Linked DNA regions of Arabidopsis thaliana. The protein of the gene in region 2 purifies or fractionates together with the protein of the main gene of each other region. This does not show direct contact. Each region holds a gene or a part of one and is shown on either strand. Other genes may lie near its edges.

Region 1 (6,252 bases), on a different chromosome or scaffold from region 2:
AGAAGGATACGAAAGATGAAACGTTGAGGATGAAGATAGAGGCGTTTTGGATGATGGCAAGTCCTAATAGCAAAGATGGAACAGATGATCCGTTGCTCAACGTGGTGCAATCAGAGTCGGTGGATTTGTCTGGGTTGGGTTGTGGTAAGGTTTTGGTAATGGTGGCTGAGAAAGATGCGTTGGTGAGGCAGGGTTGGGGTTACGCGGCTAAGCTTGAGAAGTCTGGTTGGAAAGGAGAGGTTGAAGTGGTGGAGAGTGAAGGAGAAGATCATGTTTTTCATTTGTTGAAACCTGAATGTGATAATGCTATTGAAGTCATGCATAAATTCTCAGGGTTTATTAAGGGAGGGAACTAGCTTTGTGCTCTCTAGAGATATTGGAATAATTTGGTACTACATATTTTAGTTGCGTCTCTCAGTTTCTGTAATGTTTCAGTGATTGGCTTTTCGCCCAAAGCAACACAATAAAAATTGAAGATGAAAATATTTTAGTACGAGATGTTTAATTCTATAACACTACGAGATTATTAGCTTTTCCAATTGTGAGGGGAGACGAAAGAAGTTTTACACTTTCCAGTTTTCACCATTATCATCTTCATAGAAAGTTTGAACACAAGGATATGAACTTAAACAAAACAAACAGAGAAGACAACATTTGAAACACAGCTCTGCTCTTTTTCTTGTTCCGCAGCTACTTATTCAGATCAAATTCCGAAAACGAAGAAGCTTTCTTAATGAGGGAAGTAGCCAGAAACCTGGAAGAAGCTTTCTAGATGGCGATTCCAAGGGATTTCTTGAACTTCTCAACCTCTAGATAGATAGTTGAGTAAGGCAAGAACTCTGAGAAGTAATCTCCACTTAGGTGGTTAATGGCAACAGCAAGTTTCGGGATCTCTAAGGTTTCTTCATTGGTGAGTGTTCGAATAAACCTTGCTGGATTGCCTCCCCATAGTTCACCAGATGGGATTCTTCTGCCAGGTGGTAAAACAGAACCAGCTTCTAGGATTGAGCGGGTTTCGACCAGTGAACCTTCCATTAGGATTGAGTGTTGCCCGATGATGCATTCTGGTTCGATAGTGCATGATCTTAAAAGACTGTATGCACCAACTGTCACGTACCTATCGATCAATGTTTGTGCTGGTAATCCTGAAAAAAATCAAAGTAGAAAGTATCTTCTAAGATCAGATTTTTATCTATCATATCAAAATTCAAAAGCAGCACCACAGTATGCTCTATCCTTCAAGATGTTAGTATAGAAAAAGCATGAAGACTGGTTGATAATACAGAGCTATTAACCCGAAAAAATGGTGAATCAAGTAATTAAGTACTAGTTGTAAACTACAGCTTAATCAAACCAGGAGGCTGTTGAACTAAAGACTTTGACACGGAATCCACCTTGGTAAGACTAAAAGACGCTTATGTTCATTCAGCTTGACGCAGCTTCAGAATCTCGGTTCCAACCACTGAATATAATATCAACTTTCTGCAAAATTCTCTCCGCATAACTAAAAATCTTTACTATGACATAGTTCCTGAAACTTCTCCAGAGCTGCTAGGCAACTTTCTACAACTAAACAAGATGGTCTCCACCATGCTAATCTATTCAACCCCTGAATTACCTAAATTTTAAAATCAAGCACATATCATCAATGGGTTTCTTGCTTCCAATATCACTAATCACCTAAAGAACTACGCAATTCTATGCATCCTTGTCTAGCTAAACGCAAAATGCTCTGAAGATTAACTTTACTGAACAAATATCATTCATGATTCTTGATCTGGGGACATCTTCACTCCAAACAAATATGCTTACTTACACTTCACTACTTCAGATAAAAGTGTAAAATCTCCTTAAAGGTGAGACTCTACATTTTCCATAATCAAAATGGAAGATGAAAATGAAAACCCTAAATTCCAATATCAATGATTCCATTAGCTAGCAAGCAGTAACTACAGCAATTGGATATCCAGAACTCAAACTAGAAGCTACAATGGAACCATACAGAGACTCAAATTCCGAAAAAATGACAAAGAACAAGAACCTGTAGGCGACGACCACGCAGCATGAACAACACACCGTTCCTGGACATTTGAGCAGAATCCAACGGTGATCTTATTAAGATCTCCTCTCAAAACGGCACCGTTCCATACAGACGAGCCGTCCCAGACGGTGACCTGACCAGCCAACACAACGTTAGGTGCCACGTAAGCATCTACAGCTACCTTCGGTAGCCACTGTCCCAGAGGAATTATCTGTCTCTGGCCTCTGTAGTCCCATTTTACCCGATCCGGCGACGGCGTCACCTGCGATTTCGGTTTAGGTGTTTCCGTCGTCGCCACCGCTACTGCTTCCGCGGCGAAGTAACGCCGAATCAGATTCGATGAAACAGCCGATGTTATGCTTCTTTTAGAGATTCGTGCTAACGAAGTCGCCATTGTTATGGAATCGGATTCTTCAAGGTCTTGTGTAGAGAGAGAGAGAGAGAGACAGAAAGCTTCCCGGAGGAGGAGACAGAGAGGAGTCGTCGGGAGATTCTTCAAAATCTGAAAAATGAAACTATTTGGAAAGTTTTATTGGGCCTTATGGGCTAAGTTAATAGAGGCCCATTAGTCATGCCATTGTCTGCAACAAGTTTCATGTACGATATAATCTTTTTGGTATGGTATTGATATGCGTTCGTGTTCGTCGTTTTTACAAATTTTAAATGCTGAAATATGTTTTATTCCATAGTGTAAGAACAATATTTTCATATATAAACGCAAACAAAATTTTGTTTATGTTATAACCACTCTTTTAACAAACTACATGGCAAACACATACGAGTACATCAAAAAGCTTAGCTTTGTTTATTTTAAGCTAAAGATTACAAAAAAAAAAAAATTACTGCAAGGAGAATTTTGGATTATTGGGCATTGTGATCTCTCAAATCGATAAAAGAACTTCTTAAACCTCGAAGCTAACAACTGGCTCGCAACATTTGTGTGTAGCCTTCACTTGTGTGTTGATGATGGAGTCGTAGCAATACGCTCGCAGTTGTTCTTGAGAATAGGAGGGAAGAATGGGTTCAATGGAAACATATGTGGCCAACAGTTTGTATCTATAGCTGAAAACGTTTTACAACATGGGGCTTCAATGCTAGCAAACTGACCAGAAAATATCGATTTGTAGATTTCTTGTACACATCCTTGGACGTTAAAGAGAGATGACCAACATTTTATGATATCAATAGGAAGACCCGGTGGGAAAAGTCCGGGGATCGTAGGGAGTGCTTGAGAGAACCCTGGCCTCACTTGAAGAACAATGGTCATAGCTAAGATCACAAAGAGAATAGCTCCTGAGTTGTTTTCCATCTCTCTCAAGCCGGTTTTCTTCTTTCTCCTTTAAGGTTCTTTGCAATGATGTAGATGATTTTGGCTATATTCACGAAACTTAGATTTATAGGGTTATAAGATGAAAACAGTGTTAGCATAATAAGGAAGGGGTCAATATCAAATTTGACTACAAAAAGTAACTCATGACAAAGTTTGTTTTTACAATAAAAGGTTCTAAATGACATGCTTAAGATATGAGACAGAAGAGAGGCCAAATCTAGTTGTTTTACATGTGAATTATATTACAATGATATTTTTATTTCTTATTGTCCAAAGCGGCCAAACTCCTACAAATGTTACAATGAAAAGAACCGATGCAAGACATCAAAGTTGTGTCAATTATTCACTAAGTTCTGAGAAGAAAAACAAACAGAATCCACCAAAGTTTGGTCAAACCAAACACATTTCTCTGCAACTAAAAACCGCATCGGCTTTTTATTCAGTCCCATGTCCATCATCTTGCAGCTGCAAACCATCAATCGAAATCCTATATTAGCAAATAACAATTGCAAATGAAAACATATTTTTGTTCGGTTATCAAAAATGGTTAAACCTCTAAGCCATTCCACGCTTGCGTTTCGCCTTTTCCCATTGATCAAGTAAACAAGTGACACCTTCTTCAAGTGTAGCCTTCTTATCTGCTTTGAAGTTCCATAGCTCTGTTGTAATATACCTTCCACTCGGGTTATACTCGTTTATCTCCAACAAAGCTTTCGTGACCGCATTGTAAGGACCATCTCCCAAATCTGCCTTTAGCTCCCTCAGCTTTTCGTCTCTATCATCTATCACTTCCTAAACACAATTAACAACAACACCAAAAAAGCTTTTTAATCTTTCAGAGAGATTCAACATAACAAACAGAGTCAAGAAGGCGGTCTTACCACTTCTCTATCTTCATTTTCGAGCTTGACCCGCTTGAATGGATGCCAATCTGAATCTTTGAGATAGTGTTCCCAAAGTTGGAGAACTTCAACTGCTCGGTCCTCCACATCTTGCTGACAATACTTCTGCTGCATTGCATCCACGAATGGTTTCGTCACGAGCTCTCCCATTCTCTTAACACCGATATTTGTGTTCCATTCTTTCATAATCTATGAAGGCACATGAAACAAACAAAACCAAGATTTTAGTAAAATGTCAAGCTTTCTCATAGCTTTTCGATGTGATTGAAAAGAACAACACTTTGAATGATACATACGTTTACCAATTCTTTATGAGCTTCTTGAAGCTCATCGTTGGTCCTGCGCTCTCTAAGGATAAGAGTTTGGTTAAATTTATCGAGATCTGCGAGTTGTGCTTCCTTCTCACCTAAATCTTTGAAGATGATGTCCACCTCTTTCACAACTTCAGCATCGCCATCTGATGCCATGTGCTTCATCACATTGAGCTGTCCTTTCAACTGCTCAACTTCTAGCTCAATCGCTTGTTTCTGATCTCTCTGTCTTTCTAGTCTTATGATTTTCTCATGAAGCTCCTCCTTTTGCCTCTGTTAGGTACAGAATTTTCTCAGTAATCACGAAAATAAGCCCAACCATTTTTACAAAGAAGAAGAAAGTCACTAACCCTTTGGTCTTCAGCAAGTTTTTTAACTTCCTCGTCTGCCTTTTGTTGTTCCATGGCAGCTAGTTCAAGAGAGCTATTCTTAGATGCATTCTGATAAGAGAAAAAAACCAATTATTTCTTGAACATATATCTTGAAAAGAGAGATACAGAGAGTAAATGGATACCTGTTCAAGATCTTCAGACAATTTCATTCTCTCGGTTCCATTGTGCACTTCGCGCTTTGCCAACTCATTACATTTGATTTCGAGTTTCTTCCTCTCTGACTCCAACAGCCTCTTCAATTTCTCATGATCATCAACTATCTTTTGAATGTGACTCATTGTTCTTTCTTGTATAGCATTCAGCTCACGGTAATGCTTTTGCTGATTCTTCTCCTTCTCTTCCATCAACTGATTAAGTTCCTCTGACTTAACTGAACAAAGCTCCTCAATCTCCTTCATGTCTTTTTTCTTCTCTTCTACAAGTTGTCTCAGGTTCTGCACAAGCAATTCCTGTTTCCTCGCCTCTTCTTCCGTAAGCTCAGCTATAGTTTTCAGATCACCCGTCTTCCTCAAGTTTTCTCCAATAATATTATTACCGTTATAATCATCAGCACGAGCAATCCAACCGTAAAGACCTAACTTGGGACCGTCTTTCTTCAACCAGTCCTTCTTCCCATGACCATCTACTGTATAAGCCTTGTCAAACAAAAGACCATTGTGAAGTCCATTCCAATCTTTGTTAAACTCCACAATAGCTGTTCCTGAATGTCCCAAGTAGTTCCATAAAGGACGAACTCTAGTCGGGTTAAATCCTCTTAGAATATACTCATCCCTTAGCTTCGATCCACTCTCGCCCGCAGATCGACCATCTTGTGCCTTTGTAGTTGGAATATTCACCACAATACCTGTTTCAACCACATATACACAAACACTAAACACACATTGCAGTACAATCTTAAGGAGAAAAGTAAGAACCTTTAAAGTGTGTACCTTTCCAAGGATACACAAGCTTCTCGTCATGATCACAATCTTGAATAGGGTTTCCGTTTTTCTGACGCTTTGATGAAGGCTCTGCTTCTGAAGCTGAATCAGCAAGATCTTGTTGAAGGTATTTGACAAGAGCAAGGTGACTTGCTTTCTCCTTTGCACTTCTTTTATCAGAATTGCTATTACCAACTCCAGAAGCATGTTGAAGAAGATCTTTGTATTGAAAACTAGTTTTCTTCTTGTTTGGACAATAAGGACAGATAAAAGCTTGAGGAGAGAGTCTCACTTTCAGCTTCCCACCTTTAAGGTTTAGGTACATTTTGTCTCCATACTCATCCATTTCAGATTCA
Region 2 (8,504 bases):
AAGATGAAACCATCCTCCATGGAAACAATGACGGTTTCAGAAAGCAAGGATTACAAGTAGTTGCTGGACTCAGTAGAGATCTGGTTAATGTGAAAAAATCAGCCGGAATGGATTTCGATGTACTGAGCAGTTACGTGACAAAGCTCGAAATGGGTCTTGATAAACTCCGATCATTTCTCAAGACAGAGACAACTCAAGGGAGGTTCTTTGATTCGATGAAAACGTTTCTCAAAGAAGCAGAGGAAGAGATCCGAAAGATTAAAGGAGGAGAAAGAAAAGCTTTGTCAATGGTGAAAGAAGTAACAGAGTATTTCCACGGAAACGCTGCGAGAGAAGAAGCACATCCTTTAAGAATCTTCATGGTGGTGAGAGATTTTCTCGGAGTTCTCGATAACGTTTGTAAAGAAGTGAAGACGATGCAAGAAATGTCGACATCGATGGGTTCAGCTTCAGCTAGATCGTTCAGGATTTCAGCAACAGCTTCGTTACCGGTTCTTCATAGGTATAAAGCAAGACAAGACGACACAAGCTCGGATAGTGAACACAGCAGCAACTCTTCTACGTGATGAAAAAACAAAAAGCTGTACAGTTTCTTACACCAAGACACGAAGAATTAAATTGGTGTTTCTCAAGCCGGAGGAGATATCAGACATTGAGTTGGTTTAGTCGGAGAACACGGCCGTTTATAGAGTAACAAACACTATTAAAGTCTATAAATGATCAAATTTTCGTAACAAATAAGGAACCTTTTTTTTCTTAGTTTTTTATTTGTCAGCAATTTAAATATAGATAGATATATATATGAAAATTTCGTAATTTCTTGATTTTGGTTAAGTTTTGTGTTTCTTTGTTGTTGAAGGAATCAGAACCCAATACGAAAGTGATTAGAAAAAGGGATTTTGAAAGGAGAAGAAAATATATACTACACATGATACGATCATTGTTGAGGATTTGGTTTTGTGACAATGAATGTTTCCAACATTACTAATTTAATGAAATAGAAACATGTGATGTGAGTGAGGCCGATTTTGTGTACACTTGTACCACGTCCTCTCAGCTCTTACTGCTTTTGTCTTGTTCTACGTCACTTTTTCCCACCACGATCTTTTCGTTTCCTTTTTTCCATATTTGGATTTATTAAAAATAACAAAGCAAGTTGGGTCCTATAAAATTTGGTAGATTCTTCTTCTTCTGTTCATTTCACAACAAGATGACTCACTGAGCTTATTACCAATTTTGCCACTTAATCACTAAACCGATCCGTAGACCGGATTTGATATTCCAGAGACTCTCTTGGCCGACCAAAATATGTGTCATTTATTCAAACTCATTATGTTACACTTGTTTTAAAGATAGGATCACAAGAAACGCTTAAAACTCGCCCTTCTTGAGATTGACAAAATGTTTTTTAACAGTTTGTCACCGGTAAAAAGAAAGGAGAGCCTCCGATTTTCTTACTCCCCAATACATTCTTCACCAGAAGTTTCCATCTCGACTCATCTTTCTTGCTCTGTTTCTCCATCTTCTCCTTAAGGTTTCTGCATAGAGGGACTCGACATTGATCAGAACCTGCGCAAACACGTGAATGCAGTTCAAGGAGTTGCCACATTCTCTTGCAATGCACGCAACCTCCTGGAACTCTTAGCTTACAGCCTGCGAAATGCCGGATCAGTGATTCTAATCCCTTGCAAGCTTCATAGTTACACGTTGCATGGTTCGGTTTGAAATCTTTATCGTGTGGCCCTATTGTTTTACATCCATCTCTGCATATATGAACAAGTGCTTCCATTGCTTCGTATAGCTGCGAATATATCCTCTGATCATTGCGTTTTCTCATCCTCTCTTTCCGCGTCTGCGTTTATGTTCAAGATTTAGAATTTAGGAGAAAATACAGGGAAAAAAGGAAGTTTATTAAATCACTACTTACATTTGCTTCGATGATTACTGAGTCTCTAACTTCTTTCTCAAGAAAGGGATGGCTTTTCTTCATAGCTGTCCATGCTTCTGTCGCAGAGAGTTCGTTAAAGTGTTTCATGATCATACGGTGAGATATGAGGCTAAGCCGAGGGAAATCACACAGCAGCGCAAGCTGGAACACATCAACCACATTCTCAGTGGTAAGCAAACCATGTTCTAGATGCCATTCACAGACCCGTTTCAGCTGAGGAACCACGTACGCGTGTGACAGAAGTAGCAAATGCATGATAAACTCGTTCATTTCTTCTTTCTCATAGCTACACAAAGGAAATCAGATTTCGTCAGTGAAAAGATCATAAGACGAATGTTAAAAGAGGCAGAGCAAATAAATATAGAGAGCAAGAAGAAATGGAATTTATATATACCAAGAAGAGTAGAGGAAACGGATAAAAACTCGCACAGCATCATGAGGGACACCTCGGATTGATATTGTATGCCACTTGCCATGTCTCTTGGCTTGCTTCAACATGCCTTTGATCACAGTGGAAGCAGTTCCCTATTAATTCAAGAAAGACAATGTCCATATCAACCAAGTCTAGACCTTTCTAATCAACTGCTAAAGTCTGTATTCGCTTAGCTAAAGATCCTAACTACACATTGATAATTATGGTCAAAGGAGTTATAAGGAGAGCTTACAAGGATGTTGGCATGAGCATAGATGATACTGCCATTATCTGTATAGATGACTACATCAGCTTTGTATCCGTCATTGAAAAGACGATCCCACATATCTCTTGTGGCTGTCGAAACGCTGCTATGCCCAAGTTTTTTCTTGAGTCCATCAGATTTTGATGGAAGAGGAGGAGGAATTGGCACAGAAGATGAATCTGCAGATTTGAAAGATTGATGAAGATCAACACAACCTGTCACCATTCTCTTGTTTAGCTTATCTTCTCTTCCCTGCATCAATCAAATGAAAATATATATTGTCGATTCTTTAGCCACAGATAAACTTCATTGTCATTTCTACACGAAATATGTGACTCAGACAACAATTTTCACAGCATTATGTAACCAGATCTCATTTACGATTACAAATCGAATAGGATAAGAACAAATCTCTACATATATATTCACACGAAAATATCAATCAGAAATAACAAGAATTCTTGAAACAGATCGATAGAAAATGTAAGAACAAGAATCAATCAATGCTCTAATTTGTTCCGACATATATACCTTGAAAAGATTCAGACCACAGAATCAGGTTGCTTCGAAGAGGCAAGTCAAACAAAATTAACGAGAAAATCTTCTCCTTGGTAGAAAGAGCATGAGAAGAAACTCTCTCTATAGAGAAGCTTGAGAGATCAGAGATCTCTTACCATTATATAAACACACACACTCACAAAAACAATAGAAGACGACAAAAAAAATCCCACCGAAAGGATAATTTATTGTTTTAATTTCCTTATTATCTCACTTTTTTCTTACTTTTGTGTTCAATAATTTGAAGATATTTTCTTGGTTCATATCATCAACAGAGACACCCACCTGCGAAAATTACCCGAGAGGCGCGTGGAGTCTACGGTTACGAAACGGACGGCTGAGAATCCACGCGCCTTAACGGCCTTTTTTCCTCGTTCTTGAAAAAGCTTTCGTCAAGTTGGTTTTATTATCGGCTTTATCAATTGAAACACGACTCTGCATGTTTTTTTTTTATAAATGATTTAATTTAAGAGCCGTACAAAAACAGATCAGTGTGTCCTTTGTTTTTTTTGTTCTTGTTCGGCGTTACACAGCTCATAATTAGCTGTTCGTTTTTTCAAACTTTTATCCGTATTATTATCCTTTCTTCTTCAAAGATAAATTTAGATTAGTCTTAATTTTAACCACATGATCAGATACTCTCTTCAAAAATGTTAACTAATCGTGAATTATGTTGAGGTCCGCAAAATTGCGTCATAAATATTTTACTGGTCTCTCTTCATATTTCTTAGCTTCGCTTGAATTGATTGTTACCCTTTTTTCCCTTTTTTTCTGTGTTTACTATAATGCCACGTTTCTTCTATCGAATAATCTAAAACAGAAGAAGAAGAAGTCAAAATGCTTTTTATATGATCATTTTCTTGTATTTTTTTTTAGTTTTTGATCGGAGTAAAGTTATAAGAACTTCAAAAAAAAAAAAAAAAAAAAAATGCATGATGATGCCAATCTTTTTCTAACTTTTAAAGAGTATTGGAACATAATACATATATCATGTAAACTGATATTTTTAATTGTAATTTTATATCATATACGGATTTAATTGTAATTTGAGCATCACCCAGTTGTGCAATTGTAGTTATCACAGAAGTGCACATTGCAATGTTGTTGAACAACAGAAATACCTTGACATCATCTCACTGACCCATGCAGCCATGCCTAAACTTGGACCAGAACTCATGTAACCACCGGGTAATGTCAAACCTGAACTCTGAACTCTCAGGTTAGTTAAACTCATCTCTTGTTGTTTCCTTAATTCTAAATCATCACTAAACCTGTATTAAAGTGTCCCAAATTTTTTAGATAGAGATGTATAGATGCACATTTAACCCACCTGAGGAAGAACTTATTAACTATTACTGGAATAACAAGATCACCAGAGAATGATGATCCAAATAAAGGCAACGAATTTGAAGTTCTACTACATTTTCTTCCATTTTCTCCATTATTTTGCAAATACATAAACACATAAAACGAATTTATTTCCATTTTTCCCAGAAATATATAAGAACAAGCTAAAACACAGGGATACATGAATCCTCTCAGAAATCAGAGCATCGACCACGTTGTTCCCAATCGCCGTACCGAGTCGGTTCAGGACCTCTAGGCCCTCCAATCTCACCAGTATCTTCGTTCACAAACTCTCCACCTCCACCACCTTCTCCTTCCTCTTCTTCTTCCTTCTGCATCTGCAGATTCTGTTGAAGATTCTGATCTGGCTTCACGTCCCGGTTCAGATCCTGATTCGGAGATGGAGCTTGCGGCGGAGGAGGTGTACCGGAGCTTAGAAACCGTGACACTGGCTCGAGGAATCTAGAGGAGACGGATCGGCTTGGAGCGATCAAACGTACGATGTTGTTCGTCGCCATTGTTAGATCAGATGTGTCGGCCAAATCAAGAAAGAGATCCGACCTTCACGGTTTGTGATAGTATAGGGTTCGATAGTCATTTAGGTTGGGCCATAATTGGATAATAAGCCCAGTAGTATCTAGGCCCAATCATTTACATGTTTATAAATAAATTAAGAGAATTAGAGAGTAAATTTGGCCCAGTATAATTATGTTTAACAAGCCCATCAGGAGCTAGGCCTAACATGTTTATAAAACAAATAGGAGAGAATTAGAGGGTAAAGTTGACGTGGGCTGATTTCGAACCCGTAACCTTTTTATATATTAGACCTCATTACCAAAAAGCGATTCGATTATCTCATAAAGCGTCATGTGTTTTTTTGTGCCACATCAACGGCTGTGAGTGGTTAGTCACTAAAGAAAAGTCACAGGCTGTTATATAGTATTGGCTTCGCTATTTATTTTCGTCTACCACGAGAAAAACAAGTCGTAATTCTTCTATCTTGATATCTTCACCGCCTGCCGATCTCTCTCAATCTCCGATCAACCATGAGCAAAGGTCCAGGACTCTTCACCGATATCGGCAAGAAAGCCAAAGGTATAATTATCATCGTATCGCTCTTCTTCTATATTCCTTCTCTCATCGTTAAGATTCCGGTTGAAATCGCGCAATTAGTGCGTGCGTTTATGCCTGTTCATTGATTCGAAGTTCTGGTGTTTCGAATTTGTTTATCCTGTAGATTGAAATGATTTTTAGATTTTGATTATATTTTGGGTGATCCTATCGAGTTTAAGCTGTTTCTGTTTTGATTTTTCCTTCTTTGTAGATCTGTTGACGAGAGACTACAATTCCGATCAGAAGTTCAGTATCTCCACTTACAGTGCCTCCGGCGTGGTATGTTTATTATATCGATGCAAACTCTGTACTATTTTCAGACTCTTGTTCGATTTCGGTTTTAATGCGTGGTTAAATTTGTGGAGTATCGTTTTGATATTCGTTTTCAACCATTGTGTTTTCCGTTTTTATTTAGCTGCGATTAGACCTTTAAGAGTATATGTTCTTGGTCTGATCGATCTCCATGTTGAAATCGATTTCTTAAGTTCTGTGTTGGTAATTGTCAAGGGAACTGAGAGAGAGAACGAGTATCAGGATGATATTTACTTCTGTTTAAGAACTAGATGTTTGATAATGAGTGAAAATGAGGTCAACGTTTGTATAGATTTCACTTTGGTTACAAAAATATGCCATAAGAACTCCACTATATGATTCATTTTACAATTTCTTCTTTAGGTGCGCTGCTTATAGTAAAATTATTAAGTTATTGTTTGTGACAGTTTCAATTAGCTAATTGCACTTTTGTATTTAGAAACCTAATGATTGTCTGCATATGATCTAGCAGTCTAACTCCATGGTTAATTATACGAATGGAGAGCCTTAATTTTTTTTATTTTTGGTCTGTGTTCTGTTGTTTAGGCCCTTACGTCTACTGCTCTGAAGAAAGGAGGAGTTCATGCTGCTGATGTTGCCACCCAATACAAGTACAAGAATGCTTTGTTTGATGTTAAAATCGACACTGATTCTAGTGTAAGCGTTGTTGTAGAGATCTATTATACACTTTATCATCTAAAACCAGATTAATCTGTTAAGCGTGTTTGTATTTTTTCCTTACAGGTTTTGACAACAGTCACACTTACCGAGATCCTCCCATCAACAAAAGCCATTGCCTCCTTCAAAGTCCCTGATTATAATTCCGCCAAGGTTTATATTCCTTTTTAATGAAATCACAGATGTTTACTTCTCAGTGGTTTGAATGAAAATTAATCCTTCAGCTTTTGAATTTCATTAACAGCTCGAGGTGCAATACTTCCACGACCACGCAACAGTTACCGCTGCTGCAGCTTTGAAACAAAACCCACTAATTGACATAACAGCTACTCTTGGTTCGCCAGTCATCTCATTTGGTGCTGAAGCTGGATATGACACAACCTCCAAAACTTTCACCAAGTACAATGCCGGGATCAGTGTGACAAAACCAGATGCTTGCCTCTCCATAATATTGTAAGAATACAAATTTCAAAATAAAGCAATCACTAGCTCTAGATGTGGCTTGTGTGGGTCTCATCTGAGTTTTTTTTGTTCCAGGGGAGACAAAGGAGACTCACTCAAAGCATCATACCTTCATCACTTTGATGAATTTAAGAGAACCGCAGCAGTTGGTGAGGTTTACAGGAAGTTCTCGACAAATGAAAACACGATAACGGTTGGTGGATTGTATGCGATTGATCATTCGACTGCAGTGAAAGCTAAGCTCAACAACCATGGCACACTTGGTGCTCTTCTGCAGCACGAGGTCCTGCCCAGATCACTAGTGACTGTTTCCAGTGAGATTGACACTAAGGCTTTAGAAAAGCATCCAAGGTTTGGTCTCTCTCTTGCTCTCAAACCTTGAGAACACACACTCACATCAGACCTGCTTGAGTCTTCCTACTTTTCTCGTATGCTCTCATTGTTGATTTCCTCTACGGCAGGACGTGAGAGTTAGCGTTTTTTTCCTCCTTTTTTCCTTACGTTTAATTGGAATCAATAAATAGTTCCGCAGTGAAATTGACGGATAATTCTTTTTTTGGATATGCTCGGTTTTGGTTTTTTTTTTATCTTTCTTTTATAATTAAGCACTCTTCTTGAATATACACTCAGTGATTTTTTTCTTTTCTTTTAGTACAATCCAGTTAAAAAAACAAAAAAACATATAAACAAGTTGATATGATGTAAATCTCTTAGACATTAGCAAATCTTAGATAAACAAGTTAATGGTTCCTTCTTCCGCCGTGAGACTGATAGTGGGTTTCATAATTTAGGAACAATGATAGGAGGATACAAATAAAAACCGTTTCTACAACGAGCCAGTTTGGTTTAGTTGATCAGCTGCTTGTCATCGAGGTACATTCGCAAAGGAGATTCTCCCAATATTGTTGAGCCTAACTTCAAATGTTACCATTTTTTCTACGATTGGTGTAGAGATCATGTAGAGCTTTACAATTCACAACTTGCAATTACCAGTCTATATGTCCGACACCAAGAAGAATTAACGTATACAACGATTGATTGAAATGAATGATGAATTATCAATAAGGATTTAAATCTCAGTCCAATTTCAATAGCTAGAAATATAAGCATAAATGAGGTACATTGATAAGAAAACCACAAAATTCAACTTCGAATTCTGAATCATATCATCATCAATGAAATCAAAATAGAAAACTAGAAAAGAAGAAGAAAAAACCATACGTTAAGATCAATCTACGTTCTCCATGACATCTTCGGCTGAAAACTTGGTTCCCTTCTCCTTATCGGCGGCGGCGCGTCCATTAGCCTTACGCTCCAAAAGCGACTTCCTATCCTTATCGAGACGGAGCTTAGTGATCATCACATTCGAAGCATTGACTCCGACGTTGACCGTGGATCCGTTGACTTTC

Evidence for each region.
Region 1: the proteins of VDAC2 (region 2) and GAMMA CAL2 fractionate together in Arabidopsis thaliana (co-fractionation; one large-scale study listed by BioGRID). This does not show direct contact.

The regions. Positions count from the first base shown.
Region 1 is NC_003074.8:18,031,290-18,037,541, reverse strand, and holds GAMMA CAL2 (gamma carbonic anhydrase-like 2), read right to left. Parts: upstream 2,608-6,252; 5' UTR 2,436-2,607; coding exon 2,042-2,435; intron 1,146-2,041; coding exon 769-1,145; 3' UTR 501-768; downstream 1-500. Other genes in the region: CXE12 (alpha/beta-Hydrolases superfamily protein), read left to right, coding at 1-356; AT3G48675 (egg cell-secreted-like protein (DUF1278)), read right to left, coding at 2,991-3,350; IDN2 (XH/XS domain-containing protein), read right to left, coding at 3,927-4,163, 4,253-4,462, 4,570-4,857, 4,935-5,024, 5,099-5,820, 5,906-6,252.
Region 2 is NC_003076.8:26,929,647-26,938,150, forward strand, and holds VDAC2 (voltage dependent anion channel 2), read left to right. Parts: upstream 1-5,513; 5' UTR 5,514-5,576; coding exon 5,577-5,625; intron 5,626-5,854; coding exon 5,855-5,922; intron 5,923-6,150; coding exon of another isoform or gene 6,151-6,231; intron 6,232-6,501; coding exon 6,502-6,612; intron 6,613-6,699; coding exon 6,700-6,786; intron 6,787-6,877; coding exon 6,878-7,086; intron 7,087-7,170; coding exon 7,171-7,446; coding exon of another isoform or gene 7,447-7,477; exon of another isoform or gene 7,478-7,837; intron 7,838-7,886; coding exon 7,887-8,004; downstream 8,005-8,504. Other genes in the region: FH6 (formin homolog 6), read left to right, coding at 1-566; BT4 (BTB and TAZ domain protein 4), read right to left, coding at 1,409-1,852, 1,928-2,234, 2,343-2,473, 2,614-2,883; AT5G67490 (succinate dehydrogenase assembly factor), read right to left, coding at 4,722-5,048; AT5G67510 (Translation protein SH3-like family protein), read right to left, coding at 8,324-8,504. UniProt on the Arabidopsis thaliana protein: Forms a channel through the mitochondrial outer membrane that allows diffusion of small hydrophilic molecules. The channel adopts an open conformation at low or zero membrane potential and a closed conformation at potentials above 30-40 mV.